3 linked regions of the Neurospora crassa OR74A genome follow. The protein of the gene in region 2 purifies or fractionates together with the protein of the main gene of each other region. This does not show direct contact. Links are inferred from orthologs where the notes say so. Each region holds a gene or a part of one and is shown on either strand. Other genes may lie near its edges. The genes, in order: cyt-26, qcr7 and cox-4.

Evidence for each region.
Region 1: the proteins of qcr7 (region 2) and cyt-26 purify together in Saccharomyces cerevisiae (affinity purification with mass spectrometry; 3 studies listed by BioGRID, with this or other methods). This does not show direct contact. The link is inferred for Neurospora crassa OR74A from reciprocal best matches to the Saccharomyces cerevisiae genes QCR7 and CYT1.
Region 3: the proteins of qcr7 (region 2) and cox-4 purify together in Saccharomyces cerevisiae (affinity purification with mass spectrometry; 4 studies listed by BioGRID, with this or other methods). This does not show direct contact. The link is inferred for Neurospora crassa OR74A from reciprocal best matches to the Saccharomyces cerevisiae genes QCR7 and COX4.

The regions. Positions count from the first base shown.
Region 1 is NC_026501.1:4,141,941-4,152,154, forward strand, and holds cyt-26 (cytochrome-26), read right to left. Parts: upstream 5,623-10,214; 5' UTR 5,389-5,622; coding exon 5,314-5,388; intron 5,071-5,313; coding exon 4,916-5,070; intron 4,768-4,915; coding exon 4,705-4,767; intron 4,613-4,704; coding exon 3,940-4,612; 3' UTR 3,328-3,939; downstream 1-3,327. Other genes in the region: NCU16379 (hypothetical protein), read right to left, coding at 203-371, 453-509, 594-811; mbp3 (methylated-DNA-binding protein3), read right to left, coding at 1,193-1,322, 1,407-3,172; aro-7 (DAHP synthase), read right to left, coding at 6,438-6,598, 6,683-7,585, 7,674-7,734, 7,820-7,825; NCU09818 (integral membrane protein), read right to left, coding at 9,365-9,536, 9,633-9,788, 9,868-10,214. UniProt on the Saccharomyces cerevisiae protein: Component of the ubiquinol-cytochrome c oxidoreductase, a multisubunit transmembrane complex that is part of the mitochondrial electron transport chain which drives oxidative phosphorylation.
Region 2 is NC_026505.1:5,767,709-5,777,455, reverse strand, and holds qcr7 (ubiquinol-cytochrome c reductase complex protein), read left to right. Parts: upstream 1-4,280; 5' UTR 4,281-4,545; coding exon 4,546-4,661; intron 4,662-4,978; coding exon 4,979-5,234; 3' UTR 5,235-6,002; downstream 6,003-9,747. Other genes in the region: NCU08941 (calcium-binding mitochondrial carrier protein Aralar2), read right to left, coding at 1,472-2,265, 2,328-2,886; NCU08939 (mannan polymerase II complex ANP1 subunit), read right to left, coding at 7,646-7,794, 7,850-7,984, 8,042-8,122, 8,177-8,224, 8,283-8,911, 8,987-9,159. UniProt on the Saccharomyces cerevisiae protein: Component of the ubiquinol-cytochrome c oxidoreductase, a multisubunit transmembrane complex that is part of the mitochondrial electron transport chain which drives oxidative phosphorylation.
Region 3 is NC_026503.1:510,226-520,523, forward strand, and holds cox-4 (cytochrome c oxidase polypeptide IV), read right to left. Parts: upstream 6,833-10,298; 5' UTR 6,629-6,832; coding exon 6,538-6,628; intron 6,284-6,537; coding exon 6,239-6,283; intron 5,826-6,238; coding exon 5,667-5,825; intron 5,606-5,666; coding exon 5,505-5,605; intron 5,442-5,504; coding exon 5,277-5,441; 3' UTR 4,528-5,276; coding exon of another isoform or gene 3,766-4,527; 3' UTR 3,572-3,765; downstream 1-3,571. Other genes in the region: NCU05687 (hypothetical protein), read left to right, coding at 905-1,038, 1,111-1,331, 1,384-2,555; NCU05688 (hypothetical protein), read left to right, coding at 3,766-4,527; NCU16615 (hypothetical protein), read left to right, coding at 7,810-8,130. UniProt on the Saccharomyces cerevisiae protein: Component of the cytochrome c oxidase, the last enzyme in the mitochondrial electron transport chain which drives oxidative phosphorylation.

The sequences.
Region 1 (10,214 bases), on a different chromosome or scaffold from region 2:
AGCCGCGCTTTCAATGGGACGGACTTTTCCAGGTTTTCATGCAGTCAAAAGGATGAGATTGACGACAGAGTGTGGTTTGAAGATGAAGGGGGGGGGGGGGGGGGGGGGGGACCATCCCATGACTTGTTTCCCATGTGGTTATAGCAACCCGCACATCCATCCACATTGTACAGGGTAGTGTCTAATGTGATATGGTTAGAAGCTAGACAAACACTTCAAGCAGATATACGTTACCGCGGGGCCTGAACTTACTCAGATCAAGCGTGGTGTTGTGTAGCACATGCGCCATGTCCGGGCATAGACAGTTCAGGAAGATTGTACGGTAGTTGTTGAGAATTCTGCAGTCACGGCAGGTTGTAGTGTAGTTTCCGCTGAAAGGGCAAGAGCGAGTCAGTTATCATCGTCTGGATGGAAAGCTGCGTACCTAATCAGATCACTGGATGGTGTCTTACGTATCATAACTCTCCAAGGTGCCATTTCTGTTTCCCAAGCAAAAGTTCAGATCCAGCCTATGGTAAAATAAGCTATGAGCATCTTCGAAAACCACACACCACACATGCACCTTGATGACTTTGACACGTCACAAGACTCACCAAGTATAGTTGTAGCCGAAAATGGCAACGTCGTCGTTCAGACAGTTGCACCCTAGCCAGTGACCCTCTCGTAAACTTGCGCCCGTAAAGATGCAATCTTTGGCATAACCTCCATTCGGTTGCTTTTGCGCAAAGACATAAAAGAAGCCTCTTGTAAGCAACGTGAGGGTGGTAATGCCGCGAACGGCCGAGGAGGCGAGGTGTGTGATGCGAGCCATGAGGGGTTACCGTTGGATGTTTCTGGGAACGGTAGTGGTCTGCGAAAATCGTATCATGTCTCTTGAAATGTGGAACTTTGATGCGGGAGTAGTAGATACCTACCTACTATACTCAACCAAAGGCGAGGAAGAGGGTCGCTTCACTATCGTCAGTCAGACCCTGACAGGGCAGGTGCTTTCCGGATGTTGGAAAAAGTGCGCATCATCTGGCCCACGTCAGACAAGAGGTGATTCTGAGGAAGGTACAACCGGCTCAACAGTGAATGGAACCTATTTCGCGGCGTGCTTGGACTTTGTGTCCACCAATGCTTGCCAACCACTGCAACTCAGAACAAACAGAGTGTTTCAGGGAACATCATCTTTCTATCCCCTCAGCTCTTTTCATCCAAAGATCACCCAACTACCACACTCATCATAGACAACCCGTCCCTCATCCACTGCCTTCCGCATCTCCTCACGGAGGGGCTCTCTCTCCCCGGTTATAGGATCCCATTCCCATCCTTCACGCATCCTGTTTGTCCAAATTTCGTCAGCAATGAATGATTTCCTGGGAAAGAAGATCAGAGCAAAAGAGAACGCATTCAAAAACACGTACCACATCCACCGCAAGTACGCTCTCAACTCCTTATCTTGCGGCAGAACCCGCATCCATTCCGGCTGAAACTCCGGATGACGACCCTTCCCCTTCCAGTCGTCCGCCCGACCGAGTAGCTTATCCCGACAAAATATCCGCCACGAGTCCAGAGCGTATGGACCCTGCGTGAGATGGCCGATTTCCCAGGCGCATCCAATGGCATGTTCTTTGGCGAATTTGATGGCGTTGATCCTGTCATCATCATCGTCAAATTCTGCCTGTGACGCTTTTCCGATATGGAAGTCATCCGGCTCGCCCGTAAATTCCTGTCCCACCTTGACACCCCTCGCATCCCCAGGTCTCGGATAATTCTTCACTCCGTACCTCTTTTCTTTACACGGTGGACACTCGATGAACATCCGCGCATATTTCTGTATGACAGAGCAACGGTTGACGGATAGCCCCAGTGGGCGAATGAGATTGATGATCTCAGAGGGATCGGCACTGGCGAGCGCCTCGGGAGTAGGGAAAAGATCCATTAGTTGGCGGAATAGAGGGATGGCCATTGTACCTCGGACTTTAATCAGGAATGTCACGGCTATGAGCAGACGGAAGGGGTCGGCTGCTACTTCTTCTTGAATTAATCCGAATCTCGAGGCTGAGATGGGAGCAATGGGGAGGCAAGAGATACCGGGTGGGTGTGGATTTCGGGACTTCTTGGTTGGGGATCTGCTCTTGGATGTGGAGGTCTTGCTCTTGGGAGGAGAGGCTTTGCTTGTTGATATCGGCCAGGGCGGTGGTTCACTGAAAAAGGGCGATTTGTAAGTGCGCTCTCCGGTGATCCTCACGTTAGCTGCTAAAACACATTCGTCAAAACTCGATGTGCCTGCTACCGATACATCGCCAAGGGCGACATCGAGGTTTTCGTTAGGGGACGAGTGTGAAGCAAGGCTACGTTGGGGACTCCAGGTGTCGGCGTAGCTTGGTTCATCTGGAAACTTCGAGTGTTTGAGCTTCGTTTTATCGGTCAACCTGGATTTCTTCGCTTTCGATTCTCCTTCGCCCTGACTAGGCCCAGCTGAGCGGTGGACAACCGACATCACCCGAGTCGGCAATGCCATCTTTCCTTGCTCACTAATCGGTTCGTGGCCGTTCATCGCTTTTCTGACAGCGCCAGAAACACCGGTCTCCCCCCGACCCCTCGTCACTTGTCTGCTCGTTTTCGCCGGGTCGTCTTGCGCCCAAAAACGCGAGACACCTCTCCCCATCACACCCGTCGTCTTCTTCACCCTCTTGCCTCCACCTCTTCCCACTTGCGCCGATGAGTTTTCTCCTCCCCCACCTTCCGTGCTCTTCCCCAAGAGACTCCCAGCACAAGTATCCCCGTCAAACAAACACCCTTCCTTCCTCCCCGCCATGATCATCCCCAGAAACGGCAACAAACACAGCTCAGGATCACCCATCACGCGATTTTGACCATGATCTTGTTCTCGCTCCAGCCGCAGAACCCGATAAGCTTGATCCCTCAAGGAATGGGCACAATCCATCATCATTTCCCATTCTTCCATTCCACGCATGAGACTCGGTTCCCAAAGTTTGCGGACTTCAACTGGTGGGGCGAAACCCGAGGTAAGCAGCGAGGCGAGGTAGTCTCGGTCTTGAGAGGAAGAGGAGAAGTCGACGTTGAAGTCATTGAGGATGTCATTGGCGAGGTCTGGTGACATGACATCGTTATATGGGAGGCGAGAGGCCTGTGATTGGGGTGGTGATAGTTTTGATGATGACATTTTGCTGGTTGTCAGTGGATGGAGAGTTTTGGATTTACATATGTGGTGTCCAGCAATCGTAGAATCAAAATGTGATTGAAAACTTCACGATGAGTTTGGGGTCAAGATGTTGTTGCTTGTCAGTGAGTGAATCGAAAAGGGAGGGGAGGGGGCCAAGACTTTGTTTGGAAGGCAAATCAAATGCCAAGCCAGGGGCATCCTCTGTGGCACTTCGTGCTGACATTTACCGTGATTCGGTGAAAGAGAGATTGCCAATCGAGAAATGTCAAGGCTTTCGAAGCTCATACTATATCTCAACTACTCTCGAAGTTAAAGGCGTACATGATGATGTAGCTGACAGGGAAATGGCCTTTACTCTTTGGCATCCGTTCAAATGCCCATGTCGTAATATCCGTATCCTGATCCACTCACATGCAAGTTCAGCTTGACCGTCATACCCATACCATCATACCCTGTCAGACACAGGCAATAACGTCTATGTTGTATTTGAGACCAGAAAATTTGATTTATACACTCTACGACCATCTTCATGTTCAACCCACACGCCCGCACATCTCCGCATTGCCCAGAGTTACCGATCCCGCCCCTGCCCATTCCTTTTCGTTTTGCTCTTTCTGACCGATGCGCAAGAGGAACATGGGGGAGCAAAATTTGGGCAGCAATAGTATATGATACATACACAGAAAAAGACAAGGAAAATCACGCACGTCTCACAACGGTTATTGTGTGAATGTCATGACTTTGCCCTTTGTTGTGGCAATGCTAAATTAGTGGCGGGTGGTGGACTCCTTGGGGGGATCGTAGACGATCTTCCTCGACTTGAGCCAAGCCCACTTGTAACGCTTAACATAGACGCTCAAGGCGAAGAGCACAGAGGTGACAACCAGAACCTTCATACCCATGCGCTTGCGGTCGTCCATCTCGGGCTCAGCAGCCCAGTTGAGGAACTCAACAACATCCTTGGCCATCTGGGAGGTGGAGGCGGGGGTGCCATCCTCGTAGTCGACGAGGCCGTCGTAGAGGACACGGGCCATGGCGATACCGGTACCGGGGAAGTAGGGGTTGAAGTTAAGGCCGGCGCCAACGGAAGCGCCAGCGGGAGGCTCATCGGGATAGCCGGTAAGGAGGGAGAAGATGTAGTCGCAGCCACCGTGGCGGGCCTTGACGATCAAGCTGAGATCGGGAGGAAGGGCACCGTTGTTGGCGAAACGGGCGGCCTCATCGTTCTTGTAGGGATCGGGGAGGTAGTCGGAAAGCTTGCCGGGGCGCTTCTCGATCTCGCCCTGGTCGTTGGGCTCGGTGTCGTACTCGTTCTCTTCGGCAAGAGCCTTGGCCTCATCGACGGTCAAGATGGTGCCGACAAGAGCGCGGTAGGGGACTCTGCTGAGAGAGTGGCACGAGGCGCAGACCTCACGGTACACCTGGAAACCTCTGCGAAGACTGCAGTCGGGCAAAAACAAAGTCGTGAGCCAGATAGTCATTTTGGATTGGAGGCGCGGCCTCGAATGGGCTGGATAGGAGTGGTTGCTTACGCTTGGTGATCAAAGGTCTTGAGCCACTGTTCGTGGACCCAGGGGTACTTGGTAGCATGGAGACTGCGTCAACGGTAAGCTTCGAGTCACTCCATGCCCAGATTCATGCCTATAGTCGAGCTCGGTCGTATATGCCTCAGAACCCATGAGGCAGACCTCGGTCCAGCGGCTAGAGCGGGGCGGATGGTCGGATCGATCGTAGGGGACTCACCCTTCCTCAGCCGGAGTCATGGCGGAAGCGAATCCATAGAGATGGTAGTACCAGGCGATCGAGCCGGCGGCGACGGCGGTGGCAGCGGCGGCAGCAATGTTCAGGCGGAGGGGAGACTCGGCAGCGGCGCCGGAGCTCTGGGTGGAAGCCGAACGCTGCCGGGCACGTCCGTTAGCTTTCCTCGAGGAGCGCGAGAGTGTGAAGGAGACAAGACAGGATGGCTCGGCCGGGGCGGGGATGGTCGGGCAACTGGGCCCCGGACCGGGAGCTCGCAGTAGGTTGACGGTAGCTCAAGCCGGCCCAGACCCAGCCATTCGAGTGGCGATGCGGCCGAGATCTGTTGTTTGGAGGGGCAGAGAGACGAGGACGAAAGAGTTGTCGAAGCAATCGAGACGAACCTTGGCAAATTTGAAGGCGCCATTTTTCGCGCTGGCAAAGGTGCGCGTCGAGCGCAGGCAGGTCCTCGCCAGCATGGTGGGCAAGCTGAGCGAAGCTTTAGGAAAGTATCGCGGGTTCGGGGGACAAGGCCAATTGGGTTGGCAATGTCGGTGACAGTATCAGGTCTGGCGGGCGGGAGGTCGAGCAGGTCCGTCCAGGTGCAAGGTCGGTCGATTCCCTTCACGTAGCGTCGTAGGTAGGACCGTAGGTTTCTTGAATTTCGGGAATCTTAGGAACACTCGCCATCTGATTGGCTGGGCCAATCACCGTGCAGCCTTTCGAGCTTTTACACTTCCCCTCGGCCCCGGCCGATGGATTTTCCGCACTAATTTACCTCATTCTGCCCGCGGGCCTCAGCGCTTTTTGAGACTACCTTGCTCAGTAAGGTAGACACCTCAGCGAGCCCAATCCCGACCTGCAAGTGGAAGTTTCACAAGCGACTAATCCAACTGGGCACAGCTGGGAGCTGGGCATCAGGATCAGGATCAGCATCAGTATCAGCATCAGCATCAGCCAGCATCGCCCCATGGAAATCATAAATGTCCAAGCTCTCGCTGCCCGCGGTCCGCCCCTTCTGTCTTTTCAGCTCACACGGCGACCCAGCGTGACCGGACCTAGCCGAGGAAAAGCTGCCAAGGAAAGCCAGGTTTGAAGCTATACACCACACATACATACCTATGCCGTGGCCCCGTAATCGCAGGTGAAGCTCAGATTTGGTCACCACGGCTATCACGCTTCACACCAACACATCACCACAATTGCATCCCCAAAAAAAAAGGCAACGCAAAACTGTAGTCGAACATGGACGATCCTAGAGATTATCATCGAAAGAAATCCAAGGTAATTGTTTCGTTTTGAGATCCAGACCCGCTCCATCTTTTACCATCTTCTATTGTCTCGACGGCCATTTCCCAAGATGCATTAATACACGCTCTTTATCAAAACACACCACATGCAGAAATGTCAGCTTTTGTGTTCCCATCCCCGCGCCAGCATATATTCGGCATCCCTCACTTAGGGTTCGTGAACCCCTATCAAATGACCCATAAACCATAAAGCAAACAAGACCAGGAATTGGCATGACTTAGGCAGCGGCGTTCTTGCTCAGGACTTCTCTCCTCTTTTTGACGGCCTGCGCAAGCGTGTCGAGAGTGGCGACAGTGTCCTCCCAGCCAATACAAGCATCAGTGATACTGACACCGTACTTGAGGCCGCACTTGCCTTCCTCGGGCACCTTCTGGTTACCTGTACGTTGTGTTAGCGAACAGCTTCAAATTTAGACGGTCATATGCCCCCAATAAAAAAAATAAACAAAATAAAAAGACTTGCCCTCGTTGATGTTGCTCTCAATCATGACGCCCATGATACCAGTTTCGCCGTTCTCAAGTTGTTGCGCAATTTCGGCAGCGACCTTGGGCTGGTTCTTGTGGTTCTTATTCGAGTTGCCGTGGCTGCAGTCAATCATCAGGCGCTGGCGCAAGCCGCTCTTCTCCAGCGCAGCCTTGGCCTCAGCGATGCTCTTCGCATCGTAGTTGGTGCCCTTGGTACCGCCACGGAGGATGACGAAGCAGTCCTCGTTGCCAACAGTTCCGACGATGGCAACGACACCGGGCTTGGTGACGGACAAAAAGTGATGGGGATGTCTGACAGCGCCAATAGCATCAATGGCAACACCCAGGGTACCGTCAGTGCCGTTCTTGAAGCCTACGGGGAAACTGAGGCCACTGGCCAACTCGCGGTGGAGCTGGCTTTCGGTGGTGCGAGCACCGACAGCGCCGACACTCAACAGATCGGCAAGGAATTGCGGGCTGATGGTATCCAACATCTCGCTGGCGAGGGGCATGCCCTTGGAGGTGAGGTCAACGAACAACTGTCTGCTCAGGCGCAAGCCCTTGTTGATCTGGAAGCTGTTGTCGATATCGGGGTCGTTGATCAGGCCCTTCCAGCCAACGGTCGTCCGGGGCTTTTCGAGGTAGGATCGCATGACAATCAACAGCTCATCCTTGTGCTTCTCCTTCTCCTTGAGTAGTAGATCGCAGTATTCGAGGGCGGCATTGGGATCGTGGATGGAGCAGGGACCGATGACTACTAGTAACCTTTCCTTCTCGTCGGTGCCATTGACAACGGCGACCACCTCCTTGCGGCCATTGATGACGGTTTGTTTCGATTCAGCGGTCTGGGGGATCTCATGTTGGAGCAGGTCGGGAGGGGTCAGCGGGTTGTAGCCGCGAACTGGATTAAGGATTAACAGTAAGCAGGGAGCTCCGAGCGTAATGAATTGCAGATATTCCACATCTGAATCAAAGAGATTGAAACTTACTGCGCCAATCCTCGCTTTCGGCCTGATTGCCGACGTTGCGGTTCTCAATGTAGAAATGTTGCTTAAAGATTCGACATGTGAGTCAATCCAACCTCTAAACACAACATTGGTAGGCGTGGGGCTCTGTCTAAGTGGACATGACGTACCGACATGTTGAGGACTTGTGACTTCTATGTGCCGTGGAACAAGCTATGTGCAAAACAGTAGATGAGAGCGGGAACTAAAGAGGACCCTTCGACTTTTAACTAAATGATTTTGAAACAAATATTCGTTATGAGTCAAAGGACGGAACAAGCCAGGTTTGTGGGGGAAGAACTTATTTTCCTTTCTCGGCGCTGCCGTGGTGGCGGCAAAGGGACTTGACAGCTCCCGTCCAGTCCAGTGCATGTTGGGTACGGAACCTTAAAATTTGTAGGAGGGGCAACCAGGAGCCTGCAATGACACCACACTCCTCTCAAGAGGTATCTGATACTCGTGGTTGGAGAGGATCCTAATGCAAATGCGGTGCTGGTGAGGCGGGGCGCAAGTAGCGGTACCCAAGACTGTTGGCAGCGCTAAGGGTCGCCGTACCTTGGAACGCCCTATCCATTGTGGGCCAGCTCCGTGATGGGGTCAAAGCAAGAGAAAGGCCGATTGAGGAACCAAAAAAAGTTCAAGCTATCGACACAAAAAGTCTGGAGGTAATTCCGTCATGGAAGTCGTGTGCTACGTCAACAGAGTCTCCTTTTTAAATTTTTTTTTAAAAAAAAGGAAAAGAGAAACGACGAGAGAAATGGAGGATGAGGGCATCAAGGTGTGAGTACGTGGTAAAGAGAGACACCCGAGTATCCGTATGCAATAAATCAAAGCACAGACATGGGCATTGGTACACTACTGGAAGTAGTGTAGTAGCTCCAACAGGGCAAAGACGATGCAAGAGTCAGACACGGAGCAATCCATATCCAACCGCTTCCTCTTCTGTGAACCAGCGGCAAACCCCCGAACGGTGAGCTCTCGTTCAAGGGCGAGTGACATAGAGAGACCATGTTCACAATATTCCTTACAATGGCTTATGCTCACGAAATGGTGATCCTCCATCCTCTTGCAGAGAGACAATTGGCCGGGCCCATGCAGTGGATGGTCCGTCATCATGGAACAGTTGTGGAAGGAATATGGAAGGATTCTGGGCGGCAAAAAAAGTTCCATGCAAGAGCAACCGGCGGTTCGCATGCATGTGGTTGGCCTTGATCGTTCTCAGCCTCCGAAGTAAAGGGAACACAGCTATGCCTGTGATATCGTCAACCGTAGGATGGACCATAGAGGTACCTACATAGTAGTGTATGCCCCGGGCAAGCTCGGGTGACGAAGCCAAATGCAGGTGGCCTTCGACACTTGGCGGGGGACCCACTCGGCCCGGGTTTCGGAGCTTGGGCACCGGGGTGCGCGCTCTTGCAAGGTAAGTACATGTTTGTGCCTCAACCCCATAACTGACTGTGCACAACGAATGCAGGGTATCAACATTTATATCTTGACTGGCTTATTGAATTCCCAGGTCTCAAAATGTCGACTTCCTTGACAAACGAAACGCAACCGGAGTTCAATTAGAACCCAATACTTGTAACAACAGTCAGGAACATGACGATGGATGGATGGCAAACGGTCAATAGCCAACTCTAGATTTGCATTGGTAAGACTGTTGAATACCCGGATCATCACTCGTCTTTGAGAGGGCGCAGAGCATCTTTCTTGAACTTCTCGATGCCGTTGATCTTGCCATAAACCCACTTCAAAGCCATTGTGCTACCTGTCATCAACAGCGCCGAAAAGGTGAACAGCAAGACTCGTTGCCAGGTGTTGAGGATATCGAAAATCGGGTACGGATACCTGACAAAACAGTTAGACATTTTGGTAAATCTCGAGGGTGTCGGAATTGTGTGCGGTTTTACCGCCTGGTCTTTGCTTTGTGTCCGTCGTTCTTACCATCCGTTCTTAGAAAAGCAGAGTTCCACCCAGCCCCAGTAAATAAATGCTATGGTCGTACTGATAGTCATAGCACCATATCCCTTGACCGTCCAAGGGGGGCTCAGGAACATCAAGTCCAGCGTCAGCATGATAGCCGGCATGGCATGGAATCCTCTGTTGGGGTTTTGTTAGCCACAGCACCACTTGCACCAGTCAGACATACAGCAGATAGGCTACAGTAAGTTTTTCGTACACATCTGGGAGAACGGGAATGGCCATATCGGGCGGCACAACCAGGTTCTTATTAATTGCACAAATGCCCCAGTAAAGGGTGCTTATGAGCACGGCCAAGGGCGCAGAACAGACCGAGAGGACATTCTTGATTCTGAACAGGCTCGGGCTCAAGATCAGATCCGCAAGCAAGGCAACTGCAAACGTGGCAAGTGCTAAACCCAGGCCAATAATGGTTAGGAACTTGAAAGCTCCTCCGAATCCCAGATGAAGTTCCCGCGGAAACAAGTGCAGGTAGCTGAAGCTCGCCATGAAAGACACCATGCCCAGCATATGTATCAGGGCGGAAAGGCCCCGCGATGGAGAAGC
Region 2 (9,747 bases):
TTGGTCTTTATGTCTTGGGAGAGAGATGTAAAAACATGATCAAAAGGCGTAATGGACACGAGGGGACACATAAGAGAAGTCAGTGGAGGTGTGATGGCAATTGTGTTCGGTCTAGTTTTGTTACTATACTATACACTCGTCATATACTTCAATTTAGTCACTGACTCTTCCTACCCCTTCCCTCGCAATGTTACTTGTCCGATTAATGCCTCCTATCCCGGTACTCTCGCTCTTGCTGTTGCTGATGCTGTTGCTGTTGATGATTTTGTTCGCGTGTGAGTTTCTATCAAGTGAGAATTAGCTTTCAACTTTTACTTCGAATAACTAACTGTCAAGCGACAGCAAAGGGAAGCACCACGGTGACACAATCCCAATATTATAGTTCGACTTGGTGTATGAAAGCCATACGTCCCAAGTAAAGTGTGATGGACTCGAGATGAATTAAGGAAAGAGGATGAAATGACTTACAGCATTAAGCTTCGCAGCCTGAATAGAATGCCTGGTATAGGCGAACAGGACCCAAGCCATTGTGAAAGCAGCCAGGGGCGCCATGACTGTCTGTCGTTGATTGATTGATTAATTGTGTAAGTGAGTGACTCGGAGTGCGAGCGAGTGTCTCGAGCGAGGTCGTCCGTCAGACATTGATTGGGTGGGTGAGGGCCGGGGACGAGCCAAACCTTTGGGTTGATGTTTCTTGATGTCTTCATTGTGACTTTTTGTCTGTAAATCAAGAACTGCGTAGGCAGGAACTGCAAGTCTTGAAGTTGGTGAGGCTGACTTGACGACTTTGAATTTTACGTGTTGTTGTAGATTGGGGATGGGATCAGAGATGGTGGTCTTGGTTGAATCGTTCGACGTCCGTTTCACTGCAACCATAGATATCGTACTATACTGTGTAAGACGGTTTACCGCCATGTAAGTGGACCGAGCGTCTTTCCCCCCTTTGATGGTTGGGAACCGATTAACGGGAACCTCCTTTTACGCGCTTAATATGATGAAGTAGAAGCATTATTTGGTAGCAAATTCATACAGAAGCCATTTCTCAAGTCTTGAACATGCCAGTGGTAAGTTGTGTGGGCAAGATCGTGGTCTAAACGCCGACATGACTCAATAGCCCGATGAAAACCCCAGACAGAAAGCCGCTTGATCAGGAAGCAGACATTTCAGCTGAAGCATGTTCAACATAAGACTATATATGCTCGCTATACCGGTATGCCAAATGTATACATGTATGAAGAATCCCGAGTACCTGTACCGCCCTTCCGGGGTATCGCAATGTGATCCTATCTTGCCCCCCTGCCCAGTCCCGTATCGCTTTTCCACTTTGCACGCGCTCCGTCGCTGTGTATGTGTGCGTCTGTGTCTGTATGTTCGCTCCACGCCATATATAAGCTACGTATATGAATATCCAACTTTCGAATCCTTGACCCACTCCAAACATGTGAACATCCCTCGATTCCATTGCACGTCTCTAGCTGCTGGTGCTGCTGGAGATCTCAGGCCTCTCGACGCTCTCAGCCTTCACAGCCGTAGCCTCGGCAACCTTGGCCAGCTTCTCCCTTCCATGCTTCCTCGCCTGCTTCAGGTTGTTCATCACGTACTCGTACGTGAGCATGGTGACAGTCGCCGCGGGGACGGCTCTCATCATGTTGGTTCCCATACCAGCGTAAAACGCCCTCCACCCTTCCTCCTTGAGCATGATCTTGAAGGTGCTCACCACGCCTCTGTACTTGGGCCCTGATGTTGCCAGCTGCTTTGACTCGGCGCCGTTCTTGGCAACCACTCCCAGACCCTGCAAGTGCTCCTGTCCCGGAATCGGCCTGCGCTGTGTCTGCAGTCTCGTCCTGATGACCTCGTGGGGATACGTCGCACTGCTGGCGATAATCTTGGAGAGGACGGAGGCGGCAAAAGTGCCCATAAAGCTTGGCTTGGCGTTCTGGTCGCCGGCGGCGCCGCCCATGCCTTGTCCAGTAAACTTGGTCTTGAGGAACTCGTAGGTGGGAAATTGGACGGCCACATGGGAGAGACCCAGAAGAGCAGGTGTCAATCCGGAGTAAAAGGAGAGAAGGCCCTCGGTGGTGTACATCTTGCGTGCGGCATCGAACGTGGACTTGTAGTGCCAATGGGAGTGCATCGAGGGGCGCGCGTCTTGAAATGCCGACTGCGACATGAGTCGGGTCTTGATGACCCATATCGGGTTCGTCGCAATGGTGCTACTAGCGCCGGCTATGATGGATGCGCCAAAGTTGATGGCAATTGGCTTGTCTGTCACATCTATGTTAGCCTTGAACGTCCCGTTCCGTACCAACACCAAAAGGAAGACATACCCGTGTATTGGCGTAGCCATATTTTGCTTTTGTTGTAGACTGTGAACCAGACAGCCCAGGTGGGCAAGTAGCCCATTATTATAGGACCCAAGCCCCTATACATGCCGCGAATGCCCTCATGCCTCCATATTACCTTGGCCGTGCCTACCAGGCCATTGTACATCCTGGGCTGGCCCACATGCTGTCCCGCGCCCTGCGCTTGCAACTTGGTCTTGATAACGTCCAGCGGGCAGGTGACCACGCCGGACATGAAGCCTCCCACTGCGCCGGCGAGCGCATTGAACTGCGAGTCCGAAGCATTCATTGCCCATCTTTCCAGGCCCGTTATCCGGTTGGGGTCCTCTTGCATTGGGTCGGCCGAGGCTGAGTCTATTATCTCCTCTGTTATGTCTTGCCCTGCTGCTGCTGTCTCCTCCAGCTCTTCGGTCACCGAGTTGGCGGGCGCAAAAGTGGCGGGTGGCCGGGCGCCTGGCAAGGAGCGCACGCCATATTCTGCTGCCGAACTCGCGGGATCTGGTCCAGAGTGGGAGATGTGGTGTTGGGTGTCTATAGTAGACATGCCGCTACCCTTCTCTCGACTCGAGTCGGAACTGGGACTGGGCAATCGAGACGCGGGGATCGAGACGAGATGGTGCGTCTTTGTTCGAGGGGTCTCTGCTGGTCGCAACTCAGAGACCCCGGAGTAATCGGTGACCCGTGATGCCGCCGTAGTGTCGGAAAGAGGGTGGTGATCTCGGCTTGTTGGAGCTTTGGAGTCTTGAGAGGGTGGTGTTGATCAGGAAGCTGACGTTCCCGGCTTGAACGGCGTACTAGCGCGGGTGCGGGGAAGAAAGAGGTTCGCTTGGGGGGGACTGAGTCGAAGACCGAGGTGTTGATAACAGGAGTTCACCAAATATCACCGTTCGTCCGTGAGGCTCGGGGCAGCCGGGTTTTTGCGTAGGAGAGAAAGAGGCCCTGGCGCGGATCGTATTTTGGGAACTTGTTGGATTTTTCGCAATTGGTGAGCGAGCACACGAGCAGGCTCGCTACCGTACCTGTCTTTGGTAGAGGAGCTAGTATGCAGGTGAGTGGAATGAAGGAAAGGATGGGCGAATGTGGGGGAAGTCCCGTTTTCCAAAGACAGGGTTTCTTGGCAAAGAGATGGACGATAGTACAAAGTGCAGTGGAAAGAAGCTACACGACTCTTTTCGACCAAGAGGTACAACAGGAACCTTTTTGTGTGCGAATGCCAGACGGAGGCCGAGGACGGATGGTGATGTTGGTGTGTAGATAGGTTGGTTCTTGTTAAGGAAACTACGTAGTTATCTACAGAAACGAACAGCCAACGCCAATGACGGCGGGACGCGGATGCCAATTATGGTTACCAATTATGTCACCTTACTGCAGTGATTGTCCATACCTACCTACCTGCCCGTGACTCCCGTAGGCAGTGAGTGGATGAACAGCAATTCCGGATGCGCTGGGAGCTGCCTCGAATTTCCTTCCCCTCCGAGTCATGAAGACACCAGAAGCAAGTGTTGGTCTAGGGGCCAGAAAGTAGGTGTCCAGATAATCATGTGTTTGTCCAGGTCTCTCAAGTCTCGGGAGTTTTAGACTTCAGACCAAAGACCCCCAGTATGGCCCGTTTTTAACCTTCCCCCAGACAAGAGATGATAGCTATCAGTCGAGATTCCGTTTCACTGCAGCGAAACAGCGCCAGCGGTCACCACCGTCGCCCGCCAAAAAAGCGGCTGCCCTGGTCGTCGTCTCCAATTCTAGACCCACCGCGGCCCATAACATCGACCTCATCTCTGCCTTGGCATTTGGACCGACAGCTCCATGGTAACCCAAACCCTTGCCAAGAAAACAAATTCCCTATTCTCGTAGAGCCTGAGCTTTGAGGCATCAGCCACTTGGACACGGCTTTTCCCGGAGCGACGGGAGACGGGAGACAGTCTAAGAAAAACGCACGGAGCACCCGGAGCTTCTTTCTGAGTGTTCTAGTTGGACAGTGCGCTTCTACTACTGGCTGAAATGGCTGGCTGACTTTCGCGGGTTTGCTGATTTGCGGGTCGCGGCAATTTGTTAGCTCTCTCCGCCCTCCATCTTGAATCTTGACCTTGGTGTTTCCCAAGTGCGTAGAGACCAGACGACAAGAGAGTGTAGACTCCTCACCACCTCGCCTACCTATCACCGACTATCAACCGCCACCCCGGTCGACAATCATCCATCAATCACCATGTCTGCCCCTTCTCTCGTCCAGGCCGTCGCTAAGCGTGGCTGGTTGAACAAGATGCTCAAGCCCGTCTCCAACTGGTACATCAATGCCGCCGGCTACCGTCAGATGGGTCTCCGGTGAGTTTTTGTTGTTTCTTTTATATACCTCGATGGCCAGCAGTCCGGCCCGGGACCCTTGTGACGTAGGCTCTACCTGTATCGAAACCATCGCCCTTCTATGTGTTACGTCTATCCATCTGTCTCTCCTCGGCCCGGTTCTACCTCAATGGCTCGCGCCCCAGCCGCAGTTCCCTCCCTCCCTTCCACATCCCCGAGCAGGAGGACCAACACCCACCCACCCACCCACCTACCTATCTAACTACCTACCACTCACTATACCATATACAACCGACCAACAACCCATAAACTAACCCACCCTTCCTCCCCAAAAACAGCGCCGACGACCTCATCTCCGAGGAGAACGAGACCGTCCTCGCCGCCCTCCAGCGCCTTAGCCCCAAGGAGTCGTACGACCGCATCTACCGCATCCGCCGCGCCACCCAGCTCTCCCTCACCCACAAGCTCCTGCCCAAGAACGAGTGGACCACCCAGGAGGAGGACGTCCCCTACCTCCGCCCCCTGATCGACCAGATCGAGGCCGAGGCCGCCGAGAAGGACGCTCTCGACACCCTGGCTGTCGTCAAGAACTAAGCGCGGGACTTATAAAGGTATGAAAGGGGAAGGAAGGAAGGATGGGAAAGGATGGGAGGGAAGGTTTTTCCGTTATCCGCGCGCGGTGGGAACTGGACTGGCCGACTTTTTTTTTCGACGGGAACGAAGGAACCGAAGAGAAGGGAAAGGCTGGAGTACTGCTACGCTACGCTTAGGATTTGGAAGCCGAGGATACCAAAGCAATAAAGTGGATGCGCTCAAAATAAGAACCGAAACAAAAACTCGTCCCCTCGATTCTCTGGAACCTGGAACTCTTCGACAACTTGCTGCCAATTGCTTTCTGGAGAAATAGGATGAAGGGGGGGAAAAGGTGGATGGGGGAAGATGGACAGTTTGCGATGCAACGACAATGGGCAACAGCCAAATGTTCTTGTCTATGGTTGTGTTCACGCTCCCAGAACCCGCGCATCTCTATGAAGTGGAAGTGGAAGGGGAAAATGCTTTGAGAGGAGATGGTGACGACTGCGAAAGAAAAGACTACCTAACCATTTCTACTTATTAGAAGGAAAGAAAATGGGCAATAGACCTTTATCCTGCATTCTTCCCCCCCCCCCAAAACAACAAGACAACTGAAAGAGAGAAAGAAAAGAAAGGGGAGGGAAGGAAGTGTCTCAGACATGGTAGCCATCGAAATCGACCTCTGCTATGCTGTACGTTGAAGAAGTGTATGTGAGAGTCATGACAAGTTAGATCAAAAAGTAATAAGAAAAAAAAAAAAAAACTCCGCTCAATTCGCAAATACTCTCATTGTCTCTGTGTCCCAAAGAGCCTAGAACTAAGTAGTAGCAGAGGTACGCAACCATGGGAAGAAGTGAGACAATAACCTACGGGAGTGATGGCGGCCATACTGTAGCTGCCTGTCATATCAGATGGCTGCCTACTTTTTAGAGAGCCCTTGTCCAAAGATACCGCCGAAGAAACATTCCTCTTCTCCGAGACTAGGAAATTTATGGCCCAAACCTGCTCTATTTCAGGTGGCTGACGAGGACCCGAGTTTGTGCCGCTCACAACCTTGGTGGCAGTTAGCACCACTCAAAAGTTGTGATCTTGTTCATCGTGTGTACTCAGAAAAAAAAAAAAAAAAAAAAAAAAAAAAAAAAAAAAAAAAAAAAAAAAGGAGTATCACACATGTTTGGGATCAGGCAGCGTTGAAGACTCCAGTATTTTTTTCTTTCGTTTCTGGACGTTGAAGGCACAATTGTGTAAGCCCGCATAATCATGCTGAGGATACACACAGACTTCTTTCTTCTCTCGGTTCCAATGGGCATCATACCAAAATGGCGGCGGGCATATTGTGTTGCGAAAACTGAAAGTGACAACTTAGTTCTCCTTTCGGTGGGTGATATGTGTGATATCTGATGTGTACCAGTCCACCCGACAACAGAGCAGACAGTGTACATACTCTCATTACTACGTTAACTAAAGCTGACCACGTCGAAGCTGAAAAAGAGAAAAAAGAGTAAGCTATCCTACAACAGAAGAAAGAAAAATAGAAAGAAAGAAAACACTACCCGCACACCTAGAGGTAAACAAAACCCCCCTTTTTCTATCATGAAGCAATGACTGTCTGCCTGTAAACAAAAAGGTACACAGAGAAGTTGTGTAAACAGGAAAACAAGTATAGTATATTATGTCTTAACTTCATTCTCTTCTTTCTCTCTCCGTTTTTTTCCCGTTCGGGGAAACCCAAACCGCCAGCCAACTAACTGTCCAACCAAACCGGGGCAACCAAGAACTCGCTGAGAAGAGGGGGAAAAAAAGACGTCCGCTATAAGCTGGCTGTCCTCTCCTCTTATCTCTTCGGGGCACACCTTTCTAAAGCAAAGCTCGAGCCTTCAACACAACTTTTTGCTTTATCCATTCATGATGTATACACATGTCCTTCTCTCATCGCTTTTTGAGCCGATAACTCATCATCCTCGTCCTCCTCTTTACATACGTTAACCAAAATGTTTTATTGACTGATTTTGTTATGACCCTTCCTGTATACGTTACTTCGTCTGTTGTGTGCGTTTCCGCTCATTAAGGTGTGGTAGCTGTTACCGGCTATCGGACGTTGACGTCAACCTGGGGTTGCCGCGTTCGAGCGAGGCGGGGACGGCGGGCGGGCTTTGTGGGAGGGGGCTGTCGGTTGGAGAGCCGGATGGAGTAGTGTGACTGGAAGTTATTTGTAAAACGAAGAGAAAAATATCCGAGCCGTCCCGCCGTAAACCCCATAACGCCGGTTTGTCACCACGCTGATGGCGAAGAATTCGATGAATCTTGGTATGTGTGTGTCGTGGGCTTTCGTACAGTATGTAAAGATCGTGTTTCCCCTTCGCCGCCGCGCGATTTTTATCGGGTGTGTGCAGACAGGATGTTGATGCAAAGCGAATCCAGTTACAGACTCTTTATGCGTTACCACCCTTCTCCTCGGTGTCGATGTGCCAGACAACGTAGTTGGGAAGACCGATGACCTGGTAGCCGGCGCGCTTGGCCATCTTGGCGAAACCCTCGGTCTCGGCTTGGTTCTCGAAAGCGTAGCAGGGGAAGTTGATACCTATGGTTGTTAGCCGGATTTGTCCTCTCTCGAGCGCAGAAAGATGTTGACCTACCAGAACGGTGAACATCGGCCTTGACAAGAATGTTCACGCCACCAATACCGTCAAGCTCGATCTCGACGTCCTTGTCGTCGCGCCAGTCGCCCATTCTAGCCATGTAAGTGCGGCCGGTGTCGTACTCCTTGTAGCCTGTGAACAACTATGTTAGTCGGTGTCAACCCCCAGGGCCCTGTGGTATCTGCACACCTTCAGCGAGAACAACATCCTTGTCAAGGCTAGAAGCAAGTCTGCGACCCTTGTCGGACTCGACCCAAGAGTTGTAGTCGACTGTGAAGCGGTTAGCAATTTGAGAACTAAATCAAGCAACGGTCCAAAACTCACATCTACCCTCGATATCGCGGCCGTTCTGGTAGCGGTGGAACCAAATGTCTATCACATGTTAGCTTTATTGCCCCATGTGGGGACTATTACGGGAAGTTGTTCTTACTGGGAACAAGAATGTCCTTATCGTGGGCAATGAAATCCTCGAGGATCTTCTTGGGGCTGTCAACAATGTCCACGTCCCTCCAGTAAACCCAGGAGTGCTCGGGCTTCAGGGCAGCAGAAAGGAGGTAGTTGCGCGCGCGACCCATGGCCTTGCGACGAGGACCCTGGGCAGCGAACGAGTGGCGCTCCTCAACATTCTGGCTCAGCTTAAAGTCGAAATCCTTCTCGACAACCATGGCGCTGTGGAAGGGGATCTGGTCGGGGCGCTTCTGGATGCGATCCAGCTCGGAAGCCAGGACAGCAAGAGTGTCATCGGTAGAGTCGCTGACGAGGAAGGCAAGATCGATGAGGTGGTGAGGGTAGGTAAGCTCGGCGATCAGCTCGAAGTACTTGGAGAGATACCTGGAGGCATCCTTGAGAGGGGTGAGGATCAGGATGCGCTCCTCGTTGGCGACGGCCTTGGTGGTGGACTTGACGGGGTTGAGGTCGACGTGGCTGATGGTGGACGAGTTAATTTCTAGCGGGGCGTGGTGGTTGAAGATAACAGGAGTATGGAGGTGGGCATTCCAAGCTTGTTGCTCATTGAGCGTCATCTCCATTGGCGGTTTTGAGGGACCCCAACAATAGAAACTGAAAGGCAGACGCAAACATTAGCACACCGATGGCGGAAGTAATGGACAGAACAGCACATGGGATGGCACCAACCTTTGCATCTCGGAGGCGCCTGTGCTGATGCCGCGCCATAGTAATAGCACCACTCCTGTTACGGCAACGAGGAGGAGGAATCGTGTCTTTGTGAGGATAGCCCATAGTGCCCTTGCGGGAGGAAGCTGTGCTCTCGCAGCCTTCCAGCTGACGCCGCCTTTGGGGAGAAGCATTATGAAGAAACGGGGTGGCCCACGGCACCACCCGCTGAACGGTCGAGGAGGATATTAAGTCTAAAAATTGGAGACGGGAGCAGTCTATGTAGCTGCCGGCTAGGTGGACGACGCGATGCGCAGCGGCGGCAATGGTGCGGAGGAAGTGTTGCGACGTGAAGAGCGGCTGAGGTATGCGGTATCGCCGGGTGTAGCAGCAAAGGAACGATTCGCGTGGGAAGTCGTGTGGCGTCGTGGAGAGATTACGGGGTGTCGGTTGGGTGGAAAAGCCCACGTCTCCTGAAGCAGCAGCAGAGCGAAGGCGGTATCTCTGAGAAGAAGGATCCTACAAGCGAATGTAGCAATGGCTCTCTCGTCGGCGTCGTCGTCGTCGTCGTCGCCGTCGTCAAGAAAGTGTACAAGATAGAAGCAAACAAAGTAACACCGACGCGGTTGAGTCCGCGTATTGTGATGTGTGGTCGGGGTCGGAACTCTCAACTCAGGCGAAAGACGCACGGGAACGGAGACGGGACGGATGGAGGCTGAGAAAGAGAGATTCTACTATACACTACAAGGGAGCTCCTGTTCCCAAAGGTCACTGCCCAGCCC
Region 3 (10,298 bases), on a different chromosome or scaffold from region 2:
TCGGCTTTCAGATGTTGGATGGTTCTCCGGAAGGTTTATGGCCACATACCCGGTGCAATGCAACACGTTTGTTCCCAATTATCTGTGTTTTTAATCCATCATCCAGATTAATCCAAGATATTGGCGATACGGGCGCTACACCTCATACCGGCTTCGCATCCGAGTGCACCATCGAAGCCTTCAACATTCCCGGAACCATCACACCGGGTCAGGACTTGACGCTTAGCTGATTTGTGGAATCACTGGGAAGAGGACCACGAACATCAAACCAAAATCCTCCACGTGCTAGTGCAGCCGCCCTCGTGGAGAGGTAGCACAGCACACCGGTTCGTGACCCTTCTCACCATAGTGCTGAGCTGAATCTCCTTCAAAGTAACCATACTACGTCTTGGACGTTTCAAGCCTTATCTATCCTAAACCCACTGCAAGTCTGATGGAACTAGATCATGGAATCAAGTTCCGGTCATCTATCATGACAATGTACTAGTGTACCTCGAAACTGCAGGGTCCTGATGGTACCTGGTCAGCCTTTCCTCTCTTTTCTGCCAGTCAACATGTAAGCGCATCTACACACATATCCATTGAAGATCCTCATACCTCGGAGCGCTGCCGATGCATTTGGCGGTCTAGGGCTGATGCTGTTCCCGTGTCTTTAACGGTTCATCGTCAGGGCGAGAAAGACTTTTCGTTTGTTGACTTTAACATGGTGTCGAGCGGCTCTATTTTCCCATCAACAGGAGTGACCTCTTCAGGTATATAACCACTCACCTGCTCCCCTCCGTCCGTCGTCATGCGTTCCACAGGCATTCAATAGGTCCTCGGTATAAAAAGGCCTCGGGAGCCTCCTGTTCTATTTTTGGGCTCCCGCCAGACCATTTTCCATCTTGCACCAAGTCGTTTCACAATGTCAAACCTTTCCGAGAGACAGTCCAAGTTGGACAAACACCGGGACACCATCTATCGCTTATACATCACGGAAAACAAAAGCCTATCACAAGTTATTGACATTATGAAACGCGACCATAACTTGCTGGCTTCGTACGTTACATTTCCTTTCCAAGTCAGGCCTTTTTATGTCAGGCCGATAGCTAACATGTGATGGCCACACAGGGACAAAAAATACAAGCGTTACTTCAAGATCTGGGGATTCGAGAAAAACTACAAGACCAGCGAAATGATATCCATGCTCAAGATGCAACAAAAGCGGCTCAGGGACGGAAAGAAAACGATATTCTGCAACGAGAATGGGCAGAAGATACCCAATAGCAAGTTCACGCGGTTTAAGAACCGTCACACAATCAGGGAGTTCGCGGATGAAGAGTTACAAGACGGTACGGTGGTACTTCCTATCTTCCGTTTGGGGCCATCGCTTATGCTTGGTAGTCGAAATCCCGAGAGGTATCACCTACAGAACACCCGAGCCAGATGACACCAAAATCCGGTTGAAGAATCGTCCCAGCACCAGTAGAACTGGCGAAAGAACAGGCATGGGGATGGAGGAACCTCAAGTCATTGCCCAATTATCTCAGTCGGACCGCAGGGACAACATACGGCGAGAGGATTATCAACTACCCGCAAGACCAGGCTCGCCATTGTCTTTGTCCTATCCGAACCGGAGCCAGTATCGGGATACCGGTTTTACCCCAACTAATGCCTCTCCTGCGCCTTCGGCGTACTCCTTGAACACTACAATAGGTGCTCCCACTGCTCCAATGGCGGCCTACGCGTCGAGGCATCATGGCCAGATTGAGACACACTTCTCCCCATACTCGACGGCCATCAGCGACCCAGGTGAATATCAGTTATCTGCAAGTTTAAGACAGAGCTCAGTGTCATCTATGCCGCCCCTTGACTTGAGCGACAACCGGGCTGGGCTCTTTACCAGTACCGTTCCTTCTCCCGCTCTTTCTGCATACATGTTAAACGCTACTCTTGGCTGTCAAATTTCACCAGTGGCAGCATACACGACAACTGAGCAGCGTTCAGCGTATGCGCTGGATTCCCTAACACAATTTTCAGGTGCCCACACCGCGGGTTCTGTTCACTTAACCGCCGACGCAAGGCCAGGATCGTCGTCATTTAATAACTATCAAGGGAATCATGTTGGGCCTTCCCGTGGTACTATTAACTCTCTCGCAACCTCAGCTTCATCACTAAATAACACCTGCGACCTTGGTGCTTCATCCGCTTATCCCTTTAACAACACAGTTACTGCCCCTGTTCCACTCTCCTCTCCAAGGAATGGCCAAGGGCAGTCTTCAACCAATGATCCCATCTCGCCGGGTCTACAGCTCATTGATTCCGGTCCCTCTCCAGCATGCGGTCAGAGTGAGGTACTCTTCGGTTCCGGACTCGACAACTATACTGGTAATTATGGCAGATATGATAGTATACAAACAAGCAATACGAACAACACATACTCTCCTGTGTTGCAGCCATATCTTGATGGGATCGAGGAGTATCCGTACTGCAATACAAACAGTTACTACATGGCCGGATATCAGGGCGGAAATGGCGTGGATGAAAGTTTGGGGTTTGGATCTCAGTCCCATTGAGGAAAGATGGTTCTGGTGATGGTGAGGATAAGGCGATGAGTGGGCACAGAGCAAAAAAGAAAAAAAAGAAAAAGGGGATAGAATGATGCATTGAACTGAGTTCTTTGACTTCTCCACCCTTGAAGATTTCGGCATCGTTAGAGTAGGGGCTTACGCTGTCCCGTCTGTCGAGGAAGAAAGCTTCCTGGCCTGGACAATGCAGCATATGAACGGGGCAAGCCATGAAGCAGCCGGGGCATATCATTCCAAGCTATTCCTTAGACATACTTATAGATAAATCTATGGAACCTCGCCAGAGTTTGTTTGCCCATTACATATGCGCCGTTTCATGACCGAGATTGTTTCATCGCCGTACATGTTGGAGTGAAGAGGTTCAGCAACATGAGGTTGATCTGGAGAAAGGTTTAGGGCATGGAGGACACAGAAGGCAGCAAAGGATATATCTGAGATTAATTCGATAGGGACGGGAAATTGATCTGGTATAAAAGACAGGCTTTCTTTTGGTTGGAATCTATTCTTGATTGGTCCCCTCATGAGTGTGTTGAAGTTCATATTGGCGATGTGACGTTGTAAGCTTCCCCGGAGGTTGCACTACATACAGTAACGGCTGAGATGGCCCCGCATTTTCAAGGCCATTGGCCTAAGCTTCTATGTAGTGGTTGAGCGGGTCCATTCCCACCATTGGACCAAACCAGACCAGACCATCGAGGTCCCGTCTCCAGGATAATTCATTCCAGTCGCAGGCTCCCTGTGACCATCGACAATCCAAAATAATTTCCCTCCATTCAAACTACTATCCGATTTTTGGTATCATACCAAGGTATTGATCTCCTCGATCTGGTTTTGTGCGACGCTAGCCTAGTACCGCACTCAGCTACTAAGAACCGGAACCCATCGACCGCTTCTACTACTGAACTACAGTGTAGCGCGCGCCCACTTCCATCCATCCATCGAACAGTACCTATCGCAACGCGACAACCACCTGGCGCATCCACGCGCAAACATCCATCCATCTCCTCGAAGAAGCCACAACGATTTACTTAGCTTTACGAGAAGGCCATCGAGTTGCTCCCTACCCGAGCAGACAGACCATCATCACCAAACCCTACCTTACCTGGCCTGTACCTGGGTACCTACCTACCTACTCAAGCATCCAACCAACCACCCACCAACCCATTCAACAACACCTACATACGCTCCTCAACGCAACATGTCTGCTGGTCCCGGCAGTGGCTCCGGAGGCGGCTCCGCAGGAGGAGGGAAATTCAACCCCAAAAACCTCCACTACGACCGCTCCGCTACCCTCCCTCCCTTTCTCGCTCGGTTGCATGCTCAACATGCCCCCGGGAACTTTGACGGTCCCGATCCGATCCTGGCTGCGCGGAGACGACCGACGAAGAAAGCGAGGAGTGGAAGTGAGGAGGCGGAGGACGCGCCGCTTGTTTTGGACGAACAGGGGAATGTGGTTGATGGAGTGTCTGTGGGGAAGGATGGGAGGGTGATGGAGTCTGGTTCGAAGGTGGAGGGTGAGGGGACCACAGAGGGGGAGGGACAGGGACAAGAGGGGGAAGAGGGGGAGGGGGGAAAAGATGGGAAAGAGGGGGAGGGGGGAAAAGATGGGAAAGATGGGGAGGGAAAACAAGAAGGGAGAGAAGGGGAAGGGGGGGACAGAAACAAACATGGGGAGGGGAGTAAAGAAGGGAATAACAAGATGGCAAAGGAGGAGAAAGGAGTGGGAATAGGAGCGAGTAAGAAGAAGAGAAAGGTAGGGAAGGTCATTGCTGGCGATGATGACTCTGATCAAGAGCAAGATGGGGATGCTAAGGAGCCAAAGGCAAAGGCTGAGGGTACAGATGCCAAAGACCAAAGCGGAAAAACGGAACAGGCAGGGGAGAAACCAAAGCCCAAGACGGCCATGAAGAAGGCTAAGAAAATCAAGCTTAGCTTTGGTGATGGTGATGAGGAGGGTTGAGATGCCGTCGTTATCGGGCTTGGGCGCTGGAAGTACATAAACACCGACGGGAGAAAAAAAAGGGGGGCATGCCGAGAGGAAGGTGTGTGTTCAAGGCTAACAACCACGTCGGCCGGCGCATGTCCCAATAGCAAGTGGAAGGGCGCAAGATGCGCGACCTGGTGACAAGCTTGCGGATGACGAGGGATGCAAAGTCCGAGTTTGTCTATGCCGTTATGCCTGGAGTACTACCCAAGAGCTGTCCGGAGAAAAGCAATAGGGAGCTGTGCCAGAACGTCGTTCCCGATCCTGCGGTGCTCTGACTCAGTGCCAGGCAGAAGAAGCTATCTTGGATGGTCTCGAGTCTTGTTGCTCGGTACCGCAGAGAAGGTCGAGTCTAGATGATTCTGCGAATGCACTCTGAGCAAACAGCCCTAGTAGCAATCCTGAATCTAGATACTGTCACGCCAATCCAACCTCTTTCGAGCTTCTCGATGGTATATACAATTCCATGTTCAGTATTTATTTGGCCCCAGGGTTCTAGGTAGAAATCTACAGCTCTAGGTTCCCGAATGCAAGTCCAATGAGGTAACAACCACCTACCCAGCCTCATCATCACCCCCGTGTTCTCCAGGTTCGCATTCACAGTGCTTGCCTCCCAGTAAACTTGTGTCATATGCATGCATCGTATTTGTCAATGTCTTCTTCTATTAACAACCCACTACACAAAAACCTCAAACCTCCCTTTGCAAACCCCACAACTGGGTAATTTACCAGTACTCGGGCTTGACGTAGTCGGCAAAGGTCTTGGGCTCCTCGAAGCCGTGGTGGTCGTGGCCGTGGTCGTGGGCGTGGTCGTCCTGGGGACCGACGTAGTCCATCTTGTAGACGTTGCCGCACTCGGGGCAGCGCTCGACGGGGCGCTCGCGGGTCATCTATTTTTTGGTTAGAATACTCAATTTGAGCGGTAGAAGAAACAGAGAAGAGAAAAAACTCACGGTGAGCCAGATGACGTTGTGGGAGTCGGCAGGGAAGCCAGTGCAACCGGCGTACTGCTCATCACCGGCGGAGCGGACGGAGATGGGGTTCTCCATGGTGCCTATTTTTCAACTGTCAACCCCCCAGCTCCTCTCAACCCAGGTTATTACAGCAAGTCTTACCCCTGCGGGAGGCATCAAGGGGCTTCATGTCGAAAACGTCGACGCCCTCCATCTTGCCGAGAATTTCGAGACGCTCGAGACCGGTGGCCTGCTCGAGATCGGTGGGGACAGTGCCGGGGGCGGCACCGGGGCCGAAGAGGTCATCCTTGGTCTTGATCTCTGTTTGTCGCGAAAGGTATATATGTCAGTCATGTATGTTTTTTCGTCGTATGCGGTTTCGTCCGTCACCCCGCATCGTCATGGAGCGAGTGGAGGCTATAGGGAAGCTGGGCTGAACTGAGCTACCCGGCCGGTGGAAGCTGTGGTAGATAGGGGAGCCTCAAGCTTGAGCTGGTCGAGGAGCTTCTTCTCCGGTTCGTCCGCGCAATGATAATAACCCCCTCCTTTTTGTGGTCGTCCAATGCTTTCCTCCTCCTTCTTCTTGTTGTTTCATCAAGCTCCCCCAAGCTTGACTAAGCTCAGCTCGAGCTTCGAAAGACCCACCACAGCTTCCAGTTCGCGTAGCCCAGTTCTCCAGCAACCCCAATAGACACAATGGTGACGCAATCGCCGGCGGGGGGAGATCATCATACCGGAGAGACGCTTGATGTGGGGGACAGGCTTGGTCTCGGCGTTGCCTGGAATCAAGATAAAAACATGGTGTCAGTTTTGCGATCGGGATTCGGGGGTTTGTGATTGATGCGCGTTTGGTTGTCGCGAATTGGTTCGAGGTGGTGGTGGGGTCATGATGTCGTCGTCGTTGGTGGTGGTGGTGGTGATGATGCTTATGCGCGGATATTTGCAGCTTCGCGATTGGAGCTTTTTTGGATGCCGTGCTTTTTTTCAGGCCGCAGCCGCTAAAAACCAAGAGACGTTTCCAATGTTCACTTACAGCGCACAACGGTGGTGGCGATGCTGCGACGGAGAGCGGGGGCAGCGGTGGCCCGGCGGGCGACGGCGACGGCGGTGCGGGACAGGAGCATGTTGGCGACGGCGGCGGGTGGGTGGTGGTGGATGGTGTGATGTCGGAGTGACAGAATTGACCGGGAGAGAGCGGAGAGGCGGGAGATGATGTTTTGTCGCTGTCTGTCCGAATCCGAAGCTGGTTTGCCCACACTGCCGTGGGTCCCACAGCTGAGCTGGGCACCACTGCAGTGGACAGAGGCCCCGACCGTGCTGCCCTTCCCTTCTGCCGCTGGCAACTGGCGAACGGGCGGTTGTTTGGTACGAATGGAGGCGCTTGGACCACATTCTGGAAAGCTTCCCCAGCTGGTTGCCAGAAGCAGCTAGCGCACGGTCAGGTGATGCAGCACGTGGGACCGCTCATATCATCAGTACTGTACCATGAAGTGAAGCGACAATTGCGTGATGAATACATGGCAAGAGACTGTGTGAAGCAATCCTAGGTTTCAATTGACTTGGGTACGGCATAGATTATATAATGATTGAGCTAACTGGGAGCAGAAGGAAGAAGGTCTTGATGAAGCTATTGCAGGTTTGACTGGCGTGACCCTAACCCTCCAAGCCCCAATCAAACATCGACAATGCTCCACCCCGTCAAACGGAACTCGGGCTTTCCAGCTTCAAACTACCGGGCCCAATCCGGCTTCCGTGTCCGATAGTGGATCCCCGGATCGGCGCCCTGTGCAAGTTGGAGCGGCACCATTCCGGAAGTGTGCAAGTTATCTTATCCAACTAACTCACGAACGAGAACACAACACAACAAACGATCCACAGCTTCTTCACCACAGCCGGTAACCGCCACCGGTCCTTTGTCAACTCCCTCCCCTCTCACCTCCACCCGCTCCTTGAGAAGGAGGAGCAGAAAGGAAAGTGGTATCTGAAGTTGTAGGGGCTGGGTGGTTGTGGAAGAGGTGGAGGCATGCATGGCAGTGAAATTTCGCATATGAGAGTCGGGTTCGGAGTTTGGGACGCCTGGGAGCTTACACAACACTCGTATTTTACCTTGTTCAACATGGAGGCTCAAGACATGGAAACACACAGGACGTCTTGTTAAGCACATGACCACGCCCTACAGCTACGTACTCCTCTCTCTGCCTCCTACCCACTAAGTAAGATTCTTACCTACATGATACCACCTCCTAGTGGCGGAAAATTCCCACCTCCCGAACACCACCATCCCCAAACCCCAGAGTCCTGTCCCATGGTTCTCGCCCTGTTGAGGCACAGACGATGCACCCCGTTTTTTGTTTCCCATTTTGGAAGTTGGGCAACTGGGGTATGCGGGGAGCCCGTCATGCAGTTACTGTCGTTTGCTTCAGTTGAGCGGTTTTCAGGGTCTTGGATGTCACTCACGTGGTCGATACTAAAACCGGCGATGGTGCTGGATGGCTTGCATACCCCTGACTGGATGAGGATGAGGTGGGTGTCGAGAAACATGCGATATGGAATGGTGAGACAGGGGCTTAAGTCTTGGAATATTCCACGAACCATACCTACCTCTGTTCTAGCCACCCGACCATAGGATCGGGCTCCTGCTTTGTCTTTAGGCATACATTCTGAATGGTACCCAATAAACCAAGGCTGATCAGTCCGGGGTAATCTGAGTAGATCTCCTCGGGCGGAGTTGGTTCCGCGGCTGGGGCGCAAATGGCTCGGGGTCTTCACCCTGTCCGAGGACTCGCTTTTAAACGGCTTTTCGTTTTGAGGATTATGTCAATGGCAAGACTGCCTCTCGGTACTTGGCTCATTGTCAGTGTCTCGGGGTCACCTTGCCCGTTAAAGCATTCATCATGATGAAGAACCGACGATGCACTGGAAAATGAGTTGATTCAACAGGCCGCCGATTTCCTTGCTTATGAAAGGAGCAATGGCTGACACAAACCGATGGCCAATCATCCCAAATTGTAGCGTCTACTGGACGGAATAGTCTCGTGTAACCGAGTGTTTGAAGGGGAGAGGGCGACATCTTCGAAATGGGTGCATGGCGCTGGAGATCATCCCCGGACTTTTCAGGCGACAGGGTTACTGCAAGAGGGAGGAATCAGACTCCAAAAGGCTGAGCAATCTCTGCAGCTGAGGTCCTCACTGACTGGAAATGGTCAGTCACATTGGAACCCGAACACCAATGAGAGTCATGAACGATGGCCATCCTACCAATTTGGGCACCGAGGGAAGGAGCAATCAGCCAATGTTGCGAGGCCCCGTGATCAAGGTTTGGGTCGATGATACTCCCTCATCTTCATCTATCCGAAGAAGGTGCAAACCCAGGAGAGGGTTCATGTCGTACTTGGAACTTTTGGTAGTACACTGCAATGTGTTGTATAGGGCGACATGATGAACGACCTTCAAACAACCTCAGGAGGGCAATAATGAGTCTTGGCACTTGGCAGATGGGTAGGACACAAGTTCGTCAAGGACCTACTGGTAGAAACCATCACCAGAACTGGAGAGGTGAAACCCCAGACAGCCAAAAGCGTAAAGCCGAGACGAAGAAAGGCTGTCGGACCTCGAAAGACAACCAAGTAAGTACCTGATGTCAGGTCTCTCTTCTGGTTTGGACAGGAAGGTACCTACATTTTACCCCAGACTCTTGGGTGGCATCGACCGCAACTCTTCCAGCATGTAACATTGTCTAGAACCCGTGGCACCTGCCTGCCTGCCTGCCTGCCTGCATCACACTTTTGCTGACTGTACAAGCCCAAGTCACTTGCGTGTTGCTTGGTTGCCCTTGCCCTCCTGACTGACCAACGGCGACAACCGACAGCAACCACAGCCAGTCAGTCAGTCGCCCAAACAACCAAACTCCCTCTCTCAAATTTTTCCTCTCCCCGGCTAGGTGTCGACTCAGCCCGTCCCGTCGTCCCCTTTCCGACAGCCTTTATACGCACCAATCAGACGCCATTCGGTACTGTCCGCGTAGACTACTGCGCAGAAAAGACTTTCCCGACACCACTCAATCTCTTCTTGTTTCCGTGTCGGCTCTAGCCCGTCATTCCTTTGCGTGCTTCTAACCATTCAGCTTGCAAACTGAACCACACCCAAAAGCTGCATAGCTTCCTGCACCCCGGCTCTTCCCACAGCTTTTTTCCATCGTGCCGGTGCCCATGTCGTGCTACCATCTCGTTCGTGTCTCTTCCAATTGCTCGGAAGGTAGTAGCTAGGGCTGTTGGTCTGTTAATTAGTCTAATTGCTAGCTTCACCGCCATAGGGATTAACAATTGATGCGACCAAGATGCTCCATGGAGGTTGGTCTTCATAACCATCAATTCCTGATTCAGGCTTCGTGGAATCTGGTCTTTCCATCCTGCTGGGTCAGCTCATGTCCCCCTCCCCTTCCTACGCTGTCTCACCTGATCGCCTCATTCGAGTGCTACCCCTCTCTCACCAAGGGGAAGAAAGTTTAACCTTGTTACCATTTGTCTGTTTCGTCCTGCTGGCCAGCCTGCTATGGTAGAGCTACACAACAAACATACGAAGCTTTCCCATCACCTGAGCCCTCGGGTGATCCAATCATCTTTTGGACTCAACCATTTTTTGGGCGACTTGCGACTTGCAAGGTTTTCGACAAATCAAATGAACCTTTGAGCTTTTCTTCTTCCCTTCCCCCCTTCTCAATTTTTTAAAGACGCCACTTGCGCATTTCTTACCTACCCTGTACCCTACCGAACATACACTACTGCGACTGAACAT